Linked DNA regions of Coturnix japonica. The protein of the gene in region 1 interacts with the protein of each later gene in a pairwise test. Links are inferred from orthologs where the notes say so. Each region holds a gene or a part of one and is shown in the gene's direction. Other genes may lie near its edges.

The links.
Region 2: the proteins of CPNE2 (region 1) and UBA3 interact in binary tests that used the Homo sapiens proteins (3 or more experiments, as listed by UniProt). The two-hybrid records come from large-scale screens. The link is inferred for Coturnix japonica from reciprocal best matches to the Homo sapiens genes CPNE2 and UBA3.

Annotation. Positions count from the first base shown.
Region 1 is NC_029526.1:1,811,994-1,819,654, reverse strand, and holds the start of CPNE2 (copine-2), read left to right. Parts: upstream 1-2,571; 5' UTR 2,572-2,970; intron 2,971-3,029; exon of another isoform or gene 3,030-3,301; intron 3,302-6,838; exon of another isoform or gene 6,839-6,856; intron 6,857-7,661. Other genes in the region: protein NLRC5, read left to right, coding at 389-472, 920-1,001.
Region 2 is NC_029527.1:12,738,288-12,746,127, reverse strand, and holds the start of UBA3 (NEDD8-activating enzyme E1 catalytic subunit), read left to right. Parts: upstream 1-2,642; 5' UTR 2,643-2,706; coding exon 2,707-2,726; exon of another isoform or gene 2,727-2,739; coding exon of another isoform or gene 2,740-2,741; intron 2,742-2,863; coding exon 2,864-2,905; intron 2,906-5,357; coding exon 5,358-5,478; intron 5,479-6,443; coding exon 6,444-6,524; intron 6,525-7,840. Other genes in the region: ARL6IP5 (PRA1 family protein 3), read right to left, coding at 1,718-1,893. UniProt on the Homo sapiens protein: Catalytic subunit of the dimeric UBA3-NAE1 E1 enzyme. E1 activates NEDD8 by first adenylating its C-terminal glycine residue with ATP, thereafter linking this residue to the side chain of the catalytic cysteine, yielding a NEDD8-UBA3 thioester and free AMP.

The DNA of each region.
Region 1 (7,661 bases):
CTATTCGGTGATAGGGACCATCATCTGCTTCCCTCCCCTTGGCCCTTTGGAACATGTGGTGTGTGCCTTCCATCCCTCAGCTGGACAAAAATAATAGTTTGTGGTTCACGGGATCAGGATCTGAGTTTTGTTTGTCTTGGGCAGGGAAAACATGCAGTAGAGCTTACAAGTCCTATTGCTAGAAGGAGGCTGTGGGCAGCAGTGCGTGCTTCTTGTATAAATAGGGCTGCGGTCATCAAGACGAGGCTGGTGTCCATTGTGGAACGTGGTTGTGCTTGTGCAAAAGTGTAGCTCTTAGACAAGAGAAAAGAGGCAGCAATGGTTCTGCTGTTTTCTGCTCTTGATTTGGTTTTGCTTTTTAAAACTCTTTGTTTTTTTTTTAACACAGCCTGGAGAAAAATCGCATTGGTGCCCGTGGTGCTACCAGGTTGGCAGAGGAACTTGTCAGGTGCCCAGAAATTCAGTTCATAAGGTGAGTTCATAAGGTGTTACTGAGGGCTGGGGCCGAGTGTTGGCCCATTTAGGAGAATGGGGTGACCCATCATAGGAGAGATGTGACTTGTGCTGGCCTGCTGCCCCAGGTTGTCTTGCATGGACTAGGATGCTGCAGGGCATCCAGGCACAAGCCATGGAAAGTGGGGGTTTGCTGGATCAGAGAGAGTCCTGGGACAAAAGGCCTGAGGGCATTTCAAAGCTTAGGCCTCTCCCAACCTCGATCACTGAGCCCATCTTAGCAGGCAGGCGTGTGCTGAGTTGCTGCTGTGTTGCTGAACTTTGACCCTGCTTTGCTCCTGTCTCACTTTCGGACCAGCTTTGATAAGAACCCAAAGCTGCTTCTTCCATTTAACTGCTGTGCTGGGTGTGCCACCTCCTGGCCCACCACACCAAGTCCTGCATTCTGTGTTTGCTGTCATTGCAGGCTGTGGGACAACCCGGTGCCCAAGGACCTCGCTGAAAGTTTGACAAGCCAAGACCCAAGACTGTGCTTCTCCTTCTGTTAGCAAAGGACAGGCCTCGCCTGATAGCAATTGCTCTCTGTTTCCCATTGACCTCAAGAATTGCACTAAAAGGGATCCTGAAGAACACAGGAAACCAGAATTCCTCCAGTTAAAACCTGTGATTATGTCTTCCTTCGTTGCACTGGATGAGATGTGAGCACTTAGGTGTGTTTTGTTTATGGTGAGCTTTCATTGTGAACCAAAAGCCTGAAGAACCGCTGCTGAGCAGGCAGCATTCTCACTGTACCAACTCTCCAGCTAGTTTTGGGATGATGAGATGCATCTGATCACACTTCCAGAAAACAAGCAGAATGCTTCATTATCTTTAATCAAGATTGCAACACCTCCAGGATGTTCCAATCAAAGGATGAACATCCTCCAGGAGAGGATGTCTTTTTTTCTTACAGAACCGTGAACTGTTGACACAGATACGAATGCACTGGAACAAGCTGCTTGGAAACTGTGTGTAGCTCTTTGTAAGATAGCTCTAAAGGCTGTAATGTAGGTTGTTTGCTTCATAGCAGGCTTTCCCTCCTGCAGAACTGCTTCTGTTTCCTGGTAAAGCCTTTGTGTTATTGTAAAGTGAATGATGGATCAATGGTTGTCCAGCAGTGATGGTCGGGCAGTGATCTGTATTTGCATGGAGATATTATATGGGTAGGCTGATACTGCCATGTATTTCAGTGAGCAAACTGAAAGTACTGAGGCTTGTAAGAGAGCTGTGACTGTTCATTGTGAGAAGATACGCCTGCTTTCCTGTGCAGCTCTGCGGGGTTTTGGTGGCGTTTGGATGGCCCGCTGTGTCTTTGAGGTGATGTGAGGGATAAGTTAGCTTGACACACCACAGTGTGGACTGCAGAAAGGATCCTTCAGGCCTCTACCACTGAATCCCAAAGCCTGGCCGTGCGGCTGCTGGACCTGTGGAGACCAAAGGGAGAAGATCCCAAGCACTGAGTTTGATGTACTGCCAATGAGACCGACCACAGCTGCCCCTTGTCTGCATGGAACGACAGCTTGCATTGCAGCTATGTGGTTCTCATTATTTATTAACTTGTATTATAATGTTTTCCTTATGCGTTTGTGCTGCAAATATTTCATCCTTGCGGTGAGCTCATGGAATTTTGTTTACAGCAGCGTTTGCCCTGGAAAGAGCAAACTGCAGGGCAGGAATGGGAGCGAGGTGGAAACTCAGGGCTATCAGTGCAGCACTGCCCTGGGCTTGAGGCATCACACAGTGCCTGGGAAGGCTCCATGGTCCCCTACAGCTCCAGGTTCACCCCCAGATCCCCGATTACCGGCATCCATCAGCCCCGATTGTGGCTGCTTAGAGGGAGCGCAGGACGCCAGGTGTCAGCAGAGCCCTGCTTGCTGTATCGGCTGCTTCGGGCCTGACACGTCGCTGTGTTAAATCTCAGCGTTTCGAGGAGCTGCGATGAGGGATGAGATCAGGATGGGTGTTAGGAAAAGAGTGGTGGGACGTTGGGACGGGCTGCCCAGGGAGGCGCTGAGGGACGAGGGCAGAGCTGCTGGAAGGCGGGCTGTTGCTTGGCAGACCTCGGGGGTCTTTTCTACCCGTGATGATCCCGTCCCACCCCCGGTCCCAGCCTGATCCTGTCAGTGCCGGTCCGTCCCGTTGTGCCTCCAGTCCTCCGTGCCCAATCCCAAAGTTTCCGGGGGTGGAAGCTGAGGGCTCCCCGCATCCCTTCCCACCCACACCGTTAGCCTGGAGCGTTTTTAGATCCTTTACGACGTGATTTCGTCTTTATCACCGCCCCAAAAACCCAGCGGGGCCCACGAAGGGCTCGGGGCCGAGCCGGACCATTCCCGCCCACGGCGGCTCCTCACCGGGCTCCGCTCGGTCCCCGCGCGCGGGGCCGCCTGAGGGGGCGGAGGAGGGGGCGGTGCTGCGGGCCGCACCCCCACAGAGACGGCGGGCAGCGGCCATGGCGAGGAGCTGAGCCCGCGGTGTGCGGTGAGTGCGGACGGGACGGGACGGGGCGTAGCGGTGGTGGTGCGGCCGGCTGATGTCGGAGGTGTTTGCCGGCAGTGGTGGTTCTGCGATGGGAACGCTCCGCACTGCCCCGTTGTGTGGGAGCCGTTCGGTCCTGGGGTGGGCGAGGAGCAGGAGAGGTGGATTTATTTGGTGGTAGCCGTTGTTGGGAGGGAGCCGAGCGACCAAACGGCTGAAAGCAGCAGCAAAATGCCTCCTTGTCGCTCCGCTAAGAACTCCTTACGGCTTCTTTGAAACCTTTGTGGAGGTTCCTGACTCATCCTTCACAGCTCGGGCTGTTGGCTGGGCGCAGGTGAGTTGGGGGCTGTGCTTCTTGTCTGCTCTGTCTGGGCCTTTGGGACCAGATCGCCTGGGTTTTACATCCAGCACGAGACTCCAGAAGCTGAGGAGGAAGCATTGGGCACTGTGGGGCTTGTGTTACAGATGGGAACAAATCGGGGCTGGGAACACAAGTTTTGCTGCTAATTGACACGTCCAGCTCTGCACAACCATTCCAAGCAAGTTTAACATTCCCTCCGGTGGCTTCTAAAGGAGCCGTGAATCCACCAGGCTTCAGTCCCCTTACAAGCAGTGTTTGGGGTTTCGTGTCCCTGCTGCACAAAACCCTATCAGGGTGAAGCTTCGTGCCGGGCTGTGGGGAGGGAATCCTTTAGGAAAGGAAAAGGTGGGTTCTGAGAGCTGATGTTCTGTCTGTGTGCAGTGCGAGGCTGAGCACCGGCTGCAGGGCTGTCATCACTGCCTCCTCCATCGCTGCCCTCCTGCTTGGCTTCTGTCCCCAGCATCATTGTGCCTCGGTGTCAGTGCACTGGTGTGAATGAGCATTGCACAAAACTTAATTAGTGCTTTTTATAGCATCAGGCTTTGAACTTCTGGCTGTTCAGCAAGCCCAGTGCGTGCCCCGGCTGGCTTATGGTGACCCTAATGGATGTGGGCTAGGGATCATGATAGGACACATTGTTTATAGGGTGGTGGAAGCCCTGGTTCCTGCCCCACAACCAGCCCTGCTGCTGCTGGAGGCTGACTGGGAAACCCCTCTCTGCCAAGTCCTGCCCTTGTGTGGGGTGGAGGGGCCCGGGGGCTGCAGGTGTGTATGATGTTGGAAAATGCTTAAGGATATTTCTCATTGCTGAAGTGATTTTTTTTCCCCCTTCTGCCTCGTGTTGGCTGGGAATAGGAATTCAATTACAATTTGGAAGAAGAGAATTTGAGGTTTAATATATTAGATAAGCTTCTCAATAAGCCAATATACACTAAGCGTCCTGGGGTTGGAAGGAACAAATAGTTTCCATCTCGTATCAGGGTGGGAAGGCATCAGTGCAGCTGATGGCGTCTCCTGGCTCCTTACACCCCACAGCCCCAGCCCTGGGATCTGTCTCCAGCATTCACTTCTCAATACATGCAGCCTGCTGAGGGTTCGCTGCCATCGCCAGCATTCACAGTGACATCACTCTATTTTCTGCCCTAAATCACAAATTTCCCTAAATCGAGCCTGAGAGGAAGCGTGTATTTAAATGAAAACGTGTGGTTGTTGTGGTGTGTACCAGCCAAATGAGTGGCAATGGGGCCTGGTTGGAGGCTGGAGACAGCCCAGCCCTCCCTTTGCTCAGTGGTGCACTCAGACCCACCTGGGCTGTTCCAGGAGCAGGGAACAAGTGAGAGATGATCCTGGAGGGGAAAAAAGTGATGGAAATAGTCAAGCTGTGACCCAGCCAAGGGTCTGGGTGCAGGGACAGTTCCAACAGGATGGGCTGATGACACGCTCATGTACTGAGCTGTTACAGGCACCAGGTGCAGGCTGGTGAGTCCACTGTGATACCTGGGTGAGGCTGCACTGCAAACGCTTTGCTTTGCAAAATAATCCTGTCCGTGACCATGTTTGTTTACAGAACTGAGCTCAGAGATGTCCTCTGTGTGAACCCAGAACTACCTGCTTGGCTGCCATCTCTCCTGTTCTCTGCTTCTCCCCTACAAGGAGGCTGTAGTGGGTAAATTGAGTCATGGCTTCTGTGCCGTCCTGCAGGAATCGGTGCACTTCCCCAGGAAAAGAGAAGCCTTCTGTTCTCTATGAAGAGAGCAATATTGATTCCTTCTTTCCTACAGAGAGGAATAACTGAAATACGAGGGTACTGTTAACATTAAGAGCCCCCCATGTTCTGCATCACATCACAGCCCGCTGTCCCACTCTAGGCTCTGTGCTCACCCTCCCTCCCTATGAGGAGCTGTTATTGTTCTGCTTCCCTAAGAGCTGCGCATCTGTTTCCTTTTGTAACGTAAACTCTGACCCCGTGTCCGAGTTTTGGGGCGGTTTGTTTTCTCTTTCGCTTTTCTTTTTTTTTCCCTGTTAGTGCTGCAGATGTGGTCGGTGAGATGTGCTGCTCGCTGGGCTTCTATGGGGGAGGGAGAAAGAGGAGGAGGAGGAAGAGAAGAAGGAGGAAGAAGGAGATGGGAAGGAAGGAAGGAAGGAGTAGGAGGAGGGGAAGAAGGAGAGGGAAGAGGGAGGATGAGGAAGGGGAAGAGAGGAAGGGAGGGAGGAGGAGTGGGAGGGGAGGAGGGGAAGGAAAGAAGAGAGGAGGAGGGGGAGGAGGAGAAGGAATTGCTGGACTGCTGGAGTTGTATGAACCCACAGATGGGGAACACCTCTCTCTACCCTATGCTTAGGGCTGGTTATCAGGCAACTGCTGTGGGCAGTGCTGGATGTCAGAGAGATGCCATAGTGTGTTCCTGGGTGTGACATAGGGGTGAAGGGACCAGACAGGTGTGTTCCCTGCTGCCCAGAGCCATTCTTTGGTGAGCTGGGCATGCATTAGGGAACCACGTGGCAGCACAATGAGCACGAAGCTGGCAGCTGTGATTATACGTTGGTAGAATATTTGGCTGCGGGTGCCAAGTGAGTCGGAGGACTTCATTTAGGGCGGTGAATGCAGAGAGATGAGAACAAAAAGAGAGGAGAGGCTGGAATATAGATGTGGAGAGCCAGCTCCGAGCTCCAGGCATCCCATCACCCTGGGGGAAGGTAGTGGATGTGTGCCATCACCTGGCCCAGGGATGCTGCTGCAAGAGGGGTGATACAGGTGGCCAAGACCTCATTTGGGCATCTCCATCCACTGTGCAGAACTGGCCTGTGTCAGCAGCTCCCTGATAGAAAAATCATCTTTGCTGCCATCGTAGGCTGGTGGCACCTTTTGTCTTCCTGGGGAGTTTTTTACTGGGCACCCCTGTGACACAGTGGGCAGGATGGAGAGGTCTCATTTCAGGCTCTGGGAACTGATGGCCACCGCTCCCCTTCCTTATGGGTGCTTAGGCCACTGGATGGGAGGCAGGGTTGGACTGCAGACAATGTGCAACACACTCAGATGTTCTGGTGCCAGCCAGCCCTGGGAAAAAGCTTTTTCCAGTGAGTCATTTGCTGTCTGTGCTTTGTGTGAAGCAGTGATGAGATTTGGGGGAAGGGGAGAGATGGAAAAACGCAACCCAGATCTCCCTGCTCCAGCAGGACCCCATCTATGCCAGCACAGCTGCCCTGTGTGTGCTTGTTGAAGGCAGCAGCAGAAATAGAACAGGCCTGGCTATTTTAGGACATAGATTGCATGATCTGGGTGTTAAAATAATAATAATAAAAAATCTTTATTTTAGCTGCAACTGGCAGCATGGGCTTGGAGAGGAGCAGGCAGGTAGTGCCTGCAGGCAGCCGGGCTGGGAGGTAAAGGGGCTGGGAGGTCTTCTTTCACCCTTTTTGATGCTGTTCAAAGAACCAGGTGGTGTTTCTCCTCAAGGATACGGCAGCAGGGCTCCTCACCTGTGCTTCATTTTGGATTGCTGGCAATTGGGAGTGGCAGCGTTTGGTTGGGTGAGCATTGGTTTGTGATACAGAGGGGTTAAATGTCAGAGCCCTGGGCAGATAGGGACAGCTGAACCCGTTCCCCTCCTTCCCCTTACTCTGCAGCAGCAGCAGCGTCCCAGCTCCATCCCCATTCCATCCCCACATCCCTGCTCCATCTCCAGCAGCAGCAGAGCATGGGCGCCTGCTGACACTTGTGCCCAGGCAGAACAAACAACTGATGCTAATGAATTGGGATTTCCATGCCAAACAGATGGTTTATCAGGGGGAGGATGATGATGTTTGAGGTTCTGAGATAATGTGGATGAGCCAAGGAGGGCTATTGGAGAAAGGTACTGAACCAGCTGATGGGCAGAGCCGTCTCTCCAATAACAACCCCAGCCATAAAAGTTTATTAGTTTGACTCAATCTGAAAATGCTTCTTCCTCTCTTTCCCTCATCCCTTCCCTCTCTTTGCTCTTTTCTGTCAGAAACATGTTATGTTTGTTGCAAGTGGACTGTGCATCAGAAAGCAAAACTGCCTTGTGGGAGGTGGATGGGGTTGTCGCATAATAATGGTATAAAGCTCACATTTATCTCTGTAACACAGCTTTGATTGCAGGCTTCTGGTAAGCTCTTAGAATAGATGAGATCTTATCAGGCCCTGTAATTCACCCCTTGCACCCGGTCATACAGCGGCTGTCACACTGGCCTTGCTCTGCTCTCAGGGATCCCTTTGCCTGTGAATCCAGCTCACTGCTCAGCTGGGAGGCCCTTCTCACCAGCCCACAGCCACAGGGTTTGTGTACCGAAGGCGTGGGGATGTACCTGGGGC
Region 2 (7,840 bases), on another chromosome or scaffold:
ATTCCTGCCCACTAGAGGGTGAAGTGCAAGATTGCATCTTAGACATCAATGTAAATTTAATTGGGACACCTTTCTTGGCTTTTCTCCCAAAGCTACAGCTCGGCCAACAGAAAAATCTTTTATTAAAAAGAAATGGATAGCTTTTCTTTATTGAAGTGCTAGCCTGTTTCCTTTAGAGTTCTTCTCCCATTCTTCTTCAGTGTTGAAGAAGCAGGTCTGCCACATACAAAAGGCTCTAAAATGTGCAATAAAACAAATTCACTCCAGGTTTTTCTTGCCTGTATATTTTCAACATAGCAGGTTACTATTTAATATAAATACATTAGAATTACAATTCTGGTATTAATCTCTGCCTTTTGTGGCTCTCCTCCCTACCACCACCTCAGCAAAACGGTGGGAAATAAATGGTAATGTATCACCACCCTTGATCTGATGTGAGATCAGAGAATAAAAGGGGGAAGGAATGTAGGAGTAAAAGCTGCTACCATTCCAATTTTCCAATTGAGGATAACTAAATTGTTCATTTTTTTTTTCCTCCCAGCTTTTTGGGGTAGATGAGTTGTTCTCCTGCCTTCAAGTGTTGCTTTAATTTACCTGCTTATTTAGAACTGGTTATGGTAATCACACTACTAAATGAAGGTAGATAGAGAAGATTAGACTCCCTCTAAAGAGAGTAAGGGTCTGGAAATCTCTTTTTACTTGTCTAATGATCTGCTGCTGGGTTGAGTAGAGGGCTCAGATCTCCACCAAAATTCAGAAGAAAATCTCCCATGCCCCTTAGCTGATATGCAGCAAAAAATAGGGAAAAAGCAGGGTTCTCAGCTTCTCCTTTCACAAAGCACGGGACAAAACTCCCTGATCCCAAAGATTCTTCACTGACTCAGACACTGGGTCAATAACGTCAGCAGCCCTAAAAAGTTACAGATTGCTTCACACACTCACACACACACATACACAAAAGGATAGGGCGAAGAACTTAAGCCTCTGCAACACATATGATAAAATATACTTCTGCCATAACCACTTTGGCCTAGTGGCCAGGCAATCCTCCGGTTTAAGCATTTGCACATTGTTTGGTGACGAGCGTAGGAAACGTATTTCATTTTCCATTTTAAAAGCTTAATCATCACAGCCTCTGCTGCAACTCCTGACAAAGAGCTTCTTGATCTTAAAGCAGCACTTACAGAAGAGTCAAACAGGCTTTAATTCTAATAATGATTAGGTTCTTTCCCAATTCTCCCTAGGGAATCTACAGCTGACATGAGACACGAAGGTCTCGGTCTCACAAAGATGGATGGGTACCGTGCTTATTTTATATTGAAGGCTTTTCAATCTGCACTAGGTCAGAAATAAGAAAGGCTTGTTCTGTCCCCTCAGCGTAGGCTTAAAGATGTAACAGAGAGCAGAATTTATCTCCTCATTTGTTGGAATTCAGAGTGAAGTTTATCTCCCCTTGACAGCCACACTGGGCAGACTAAGGCAGGAAGCAGCGATCGCCGCAGAGCAGACAGTGACATCCGGCACCCACACCCACCGCTGCTTTCTGCCAGGCACCCCGAGAAACAAAAGGCAGCTCCCAGATTTGCCACCCAGCCACAAGAGGAATTAAAAACCACGTCAAAATAACCTTCTAAATAAGCCAGCCCCCACCCAACACAAAGCAAGGGCGGCTGTACGTTTGGGAGTATCAGCCCCACCGCCCCCCCCGCACACTGACCCTACGATGGCGACGACGGCGGCGGCCACCATCAGGTAGTTGGTCTGGTAGTAGAGCAGGTTGTTGACAACCCGGTTGTTCCATTTCGAGATGTCCTTGAAATCGGGCCGGGCGAAACGATCGGAACCAGGGAAGAAATCCTCCCAGGAGCGCAGAGGAGCCACCTGCACCTCCATGGCTGCTGCCCCCGCCCCACCGCCGCGCAGGCCTCGGGCTTCGTGGTACCGCCCCGGGGCGGCTCCGGGCAGCGGGGAAATGGGAAAGGAGAGGCCGGCACGTAGATCTCCGCGTACCCGGCACTGTACGGTGCTTTCGTCACCGGCGGTTGTACGTTCTGTTCGCTCGTTCTACACAAATGTCACGCCGAATCCGGATTGCATCCCCGGCAATGAGGCTGGTGGGGCTTCTACAGCCTCGGGTCACACTGAGGTGGATGCACCCCGAATCCTCCATCCTCCAACCGCAGTGTCTGTGATGATTCTAACTTCTCACGTTAGGACATTTTCAGTGTTTTTACGCTTCATTTATCGTGGCTTGAGCACACATGCCTGATGCAGGTGTGGCTGTAACGTCTGGGGCTTGTGGCAGCTTCTCAATCTACGAAGTATTCGCGTTCCTCAGGGTGCATTCAGGAGCCTGAGGCCATGATCACGATCTCTATGAGCGCTGCACGGTCTGTTTCCCACCTCCCAGCTCCAGCAGCGCTCCTCGCTCTGCATATAGACAGACCCCTGTGTGCAGTGCAGCTCTATGCGCTCCCATGGGAAGACAACAGAAAATACTTGAGAGAGGAGCTGACACGACAGAGCTGGCTGATGGAGGCATGTCTAAAGCTATCTCTATGTTTGCCTTTACCCTATGTTGTGTATCACACACAGAAGCCCTAAGGAATCATCCCCCCCTGCCCCCATAGCACCGCCCATGATGGCGCCGCGCATGGCAGGAGCCCGGCGGCGAGCGGGGCACTGTGGGAAGCAGAGGGAAAAAATATGGCGGATGGTGAGGAACCGTAAGTGCCTTGTATGTGCGTGCTCGGCAGCCCCTTCCCCACGCTTCCCGGGGACGGGTGGGCCCTGGGGTCCCCTCTCCTTCCTCCCCGGTCTGTGTAGCGCGATACTGACCCTTCTTTTATTCTCTCTCTTTTAGGGAGAAGAAAAGAAGGAGGCTAGAGGAGCTGCTGGCGGATGGGTTAGTGCGGGGCTGCGGGCGAGTGGGCTCCCGGCCCAGGGTAGAGACAGGGACAGAGATAGAAGCAGGCAGCGCTTGTGGAAGGGCGGCTGGCAGTGAGGGGAGCCGCAGCCCCGCAGAGAGGTTGGGCTGTGCTGTGAAGGCCGCAGAGATGGGTCCTGGGAGCAGAAAGATTGAGGGGGTGAGAGAGAGCCAGGGGAAGGTGAAAGGGCGCTTGAGCAGCAAGGACTGGGGGAGAGGAATCTCCTGGGGAGAGGACCGAGGGGCTCACCCGCAGCAGGGGGTGGGTTGCGGGCTTGAAGCTTGGCATGATGAAGGCTGGTGTGCTGAGAGCTTTGTGGCAGGAGTGGGAGAGCTGCTGCTGGCCAGGACTTGGCAGAGCTGCTAGGCTAGGAGCAGGTGATTCAAAACTAGCCCAAAGTGAATATTTCAGTCTACAGAGCAGCTGCTTCTGCTTCTTAAAGCTCTAAATTCTGCTCAGCCTTAAAAACTAACATGCAGAAATCTCTGACCTCATATGCTTCCATCCCTTGACTGTTCCCCTCCATCTCCTTGTGGCCCTCTTCCCAAAGCTCCCAGAGCCGTGCTGGGGTGAGGGTCACAGAAACCCCGAGGCATGTGGGTTGTGGGGTGCATGCCACATCCTGCACAAGCATGGAGCATTTGGGTGTGCGAAGGTGGCAGGGAAAAGTGTGGGCCTAGAAGGGTTGTGGTGCTCTGATGTTTTGAACAAGATCTAAAATTCACTGAAACACATGCAAGTTTTGTTGAATTCTAATAATGTGAATGCCTGGTTGTGCTGTAACAACACAAGAATAAACGTGTCTCTAAAGCTAAACGTAACACCTCATGTTGAGTTGCTGGTGTTTTTCAGGTCTCCACAATGTCCAACTCTGTAAAAACCAAGCTAATATATTCGCAAAATTGAGACGAGGTCTTGCCATCTTACCACTAAAAAGAAAAATAAACATCTAAACAGACAACTACAGCTGCTTGGTGGCTGTTTATACTGCCTGAAAAGAAGGATTAAAGAATCCTTTGTAGTATCACCAGACTTAACTTCTGCACTTCTTTCCAGAACAAGATAAAATCCATACAAGCAATTATTGTGCTTTATAATCACCCATGTTACATTTGCAGAAGTTATTGTTTCATAAACATCCTATTTTAAAACAGCTGAGACTGTGATTCAGTGGAGGAAGAGTTTTATGTTGTCCTGCTTTCCTAAAATCTTACTTTGATGCAAAGTGGGAAACACAGGATACAGATCAAAATATCCTCTATGTACTTAAGCTCCTTATGAAGAATTTATTTAACTGCTAGGTTAACCTATGTAAAGCCAACAGTTGACCAGGATGGAGTTCAATCAGCGGTCAAAGTACAGGCAGAATCCAATATGTTTATTGTTGTTTTTCAGTTAAGTTTTTTCTCCCATTACTGAAAACCTTTTGCAAAACTATGACCTAGAAGTTAATGCCATCACAGACGCTGTTCTGTCTCCATCTGAATTCTGTGAGGATCAAGAGATTCACTGTCTAGATGTGACCCAAGGAAGTAATACATTCTAAACATTGATCAACAATTATTGATATAGACTTTCTTCATATTTCTTCATAGGAGGAACCAAATAATGCTTCTTATCGATGATGATCCAACCTTTCTAAGCTCATTTATAACCAGCTTAGTTTTGTATTAACATAGAGCAAACAGTCATTTGTATTCATGTGTGGAGCTCATACTTAAAAAGGGAGGTGTGCTGTGTTAAGGAAAGGCTTGTTCCTTGTAGGTGCTGTTACATTAGGAAATTATTTAAGTGAGCTGATTTTGAGCTTTTCTAGTAAGTCTTTTAACAGTTTAATTTTATAGTTGTGTACTACTAAAAGTGACCTGCAAAAGGTACTGGGAATACTTCGTGTAAAATTCTGTATCTGTAATTTAGAAGAAGAAAACTGCAAGTTTATTTTTCAAGTTAGATAGTAACTACTAACAGGCTCAGGAGACAGGTGGAAAATGAGAGTGTCTTAAATACATGGGACTCATGGCAGGTGAAGATTGTTCACTTTGTTGAGGGAACAGCACCCTCAAAATCTAAAGGGCAGCCTCTTTTTACATGCTCTCTTAAAATGTGAGGGAAATAAAAGGGAAAAGAGCTCACCCTTTTCGTTTCTCTTCAGATCAACTTTTACTAGTAGCAGCAAAATCAGTGGGATTTATTGAAATGCCAGTTTTTGTCTGCTGCATGTTTGTATTACTGCTTACTGGGGCCACTGATGAAGCCCACTCCTGCAGATGTGGGCTTACACGTGTTTGTGATCAACATAAACATGTGGATCCGTTTGCATGGCTGATCAGTGTTTTACTTTTAACCTATACAAGAAAAAAAAAGAGCACGTTTTAGAAGTGTGGCTATTTCTGTATGGTTTTGCAGCTGAATTTACTGTGTTCTGTGCAGAATGGCTGTTGATGGTGGGTATGGGGACTCTGGAGACTGGGAAGGTCGCTGGAACCATGTAAAGAAGTTCCTCGAGCGATCTGGACCGTTCACACATCCTGATTTCGAGCCAGGCACTCAAGTGAGAAACAATTACTTTAAATTAAGAAACAACTGTATTGTGTGTTGGAAACTAATGTCAGTGGTTTCATTAATTGACTACCAGCAGTATATGAACAGTAAACCTATGTGAAGACCATGTATTTCAATTGGTGAATGTGATTATATTAGAAGAGTGTGTCATATTCTTTTCATATACTTTTATTTCTAGATTGTAAACTGTCAACTTGCTGGCATGTGTAGAAATGTATTCTATGATACACAGTAATAATTATTCTCCATCTTTGAGTTTCACATGAAAAATAGTGTTAGTCTATTGATTTTTAAACAATTAGGCACAGTAAAGAATTCCTTGTACTTAAGAAATTAAACTTAATATGAGTACTTGGAGAATTGGGATATTCCATAGGGAAAAGCAAAATTTTGCCTCTCTGAATTTTCTTCTCCTTTCATTGCTTTGGTACCTTTTGTTTCAAAGCTTAAAGTTGAATGTGTTTAACCTTTTAAATGTACCATTCCATTATATGCTACTTTGACTATAGAGTCTAATAATGTAGTTAATAGAAAAAAAACTATGTGGCCAGCAATGTTTTCTATCTGTTTATTTTGTATTATATGTAAGCAAGCTGCTTGGGGGAAAAACACTAAACTGAAATGTGTCCTTAAACTGAGTAATAATAAAATGGAGCTTGCTTTTCTTTTTTCACAGCCAAATTAATTCAAAGAGAATACTGATAGCAAACAGACTCGCTTTCCTTTAAGTAGAGATACAGGAATTACATGAACTTAACAACTGATTAAAGTCCAAGTATAATTATTCCTGCAAGCTTAAACTATGTTATTGATCTAACTTATTTTATATGAAGCTTATTGTGCACTGAAAATTTATGATGACACAATTGTAAGGTGTATGAAACAAAGGACAAATGGTACCTTTTCCTATATGATGTATTAATTGTTTGTTTGTTTGTTTTATATTTTCCACAGGCTCTTGAATTTCTTTTAAGCACGTGTAAAGTACTAGTTATTGGAGCAGGAGGGTTAGGATGTGAACTCCTGAAGAACCTGGTAATTACTCAGTTTTCATCCTTTTCTTGTGATCTTAGTTACTCCTTGAAATGAGCTTGAAGGGTGGTAGTGTAAGGTGTACTTATTTTCTTTGAGCTCTCTCAGTGTTTCTCCTGAGGAGCAGTGTGCTGCTGTGTATGAAGTGCAGGAAAATGTTTATTTACAGCCTTAGGTAGGGCCTAATATTGGGTATTTTCCCCACAGAATCACACAGAATCACAGAATGACCCGGGTTGGAGGGGACCTCAAGGATCATGTAGTTCCAACCCCCCTGCCTGGCAGGGCCACCAAACATACACGTTTACTAGATCAGGTTGCCCAGGGCCCCGTCCAACCTGGTCTTGAACACCTCCAAGGACGGGGCATCCACAACCTCCCTGGGCAGCCTGTTCCAGGGCCTAACCACTCTCCTAGTGAAGAACTTCCCCCTAACATCCAACCTAAATCTTCCCTCTTTTAACTTAAAACCATTTCCCCTAGTCCTGCTATTATCAGCCCTTTTGAAGAGTTTACTCCCCTCCTGGGAGTAAGTTCCCTTCAGGTATTGAAAGGCTGCAATGAGGTCACCCCGCAACCTTCTCTTCTCTAGGCTGAACAAACCCAACTCCCTCAGCCTTCCCCCAATTATGAGATCCTGGGAAATGAACTATACAAAGAGTGGCTAATAGAGAGTTTATCATTAGCAGCCAAAGATTAACTTAATTTTTTATGTGTTTGGATTAATGCAAAGAGAGGCTGGAAATGCTGGACCTATGATCTTTAAAAATGAAAGTAATAGAGCCAGTCTTACTGTGCCTGTGGTGACCTCCTCCTCATTGTTGGAATCCAGAGAGTAGTGGCTCTCAGTAAACATGAGCTTCTCTCCAGAGACTCAACAAGAATCTTTAGGACTCTTTCAGGATTGCATCAGTGCTGCTGAATTCAGCCTGTGTAAAAAGCTTCTTTATTCCATCAGACCAACATGCGCTATCCTATATGGAAGTGGCTAAGGAGGAATAGGTGTGAGACCAAAGAAAATACACTGCAGAGTTACTGTACTCTTCTTGACAGCAGTGCTAGCTTGTAATGGATTCTCTACAAGCTCTGAGAAGCAGTTTTTAAGTGTTTAAAAATGCAGCCATGGGATAGTGTGCTATCTGACATTTACCCAATAAGTATGTATGAGTTTAATTTTTCTATTACTCTATTTTCTTCCTCATGGCCTTTCTTATTTGTTGTAATGTATCGCTTACCATCACTTAGTTTGGACTAAGTTTCTGTAATTCACCTGCTTCCTTCAACAGTAAAAACTTCTGTCCTTACAGTTTGTTTACATG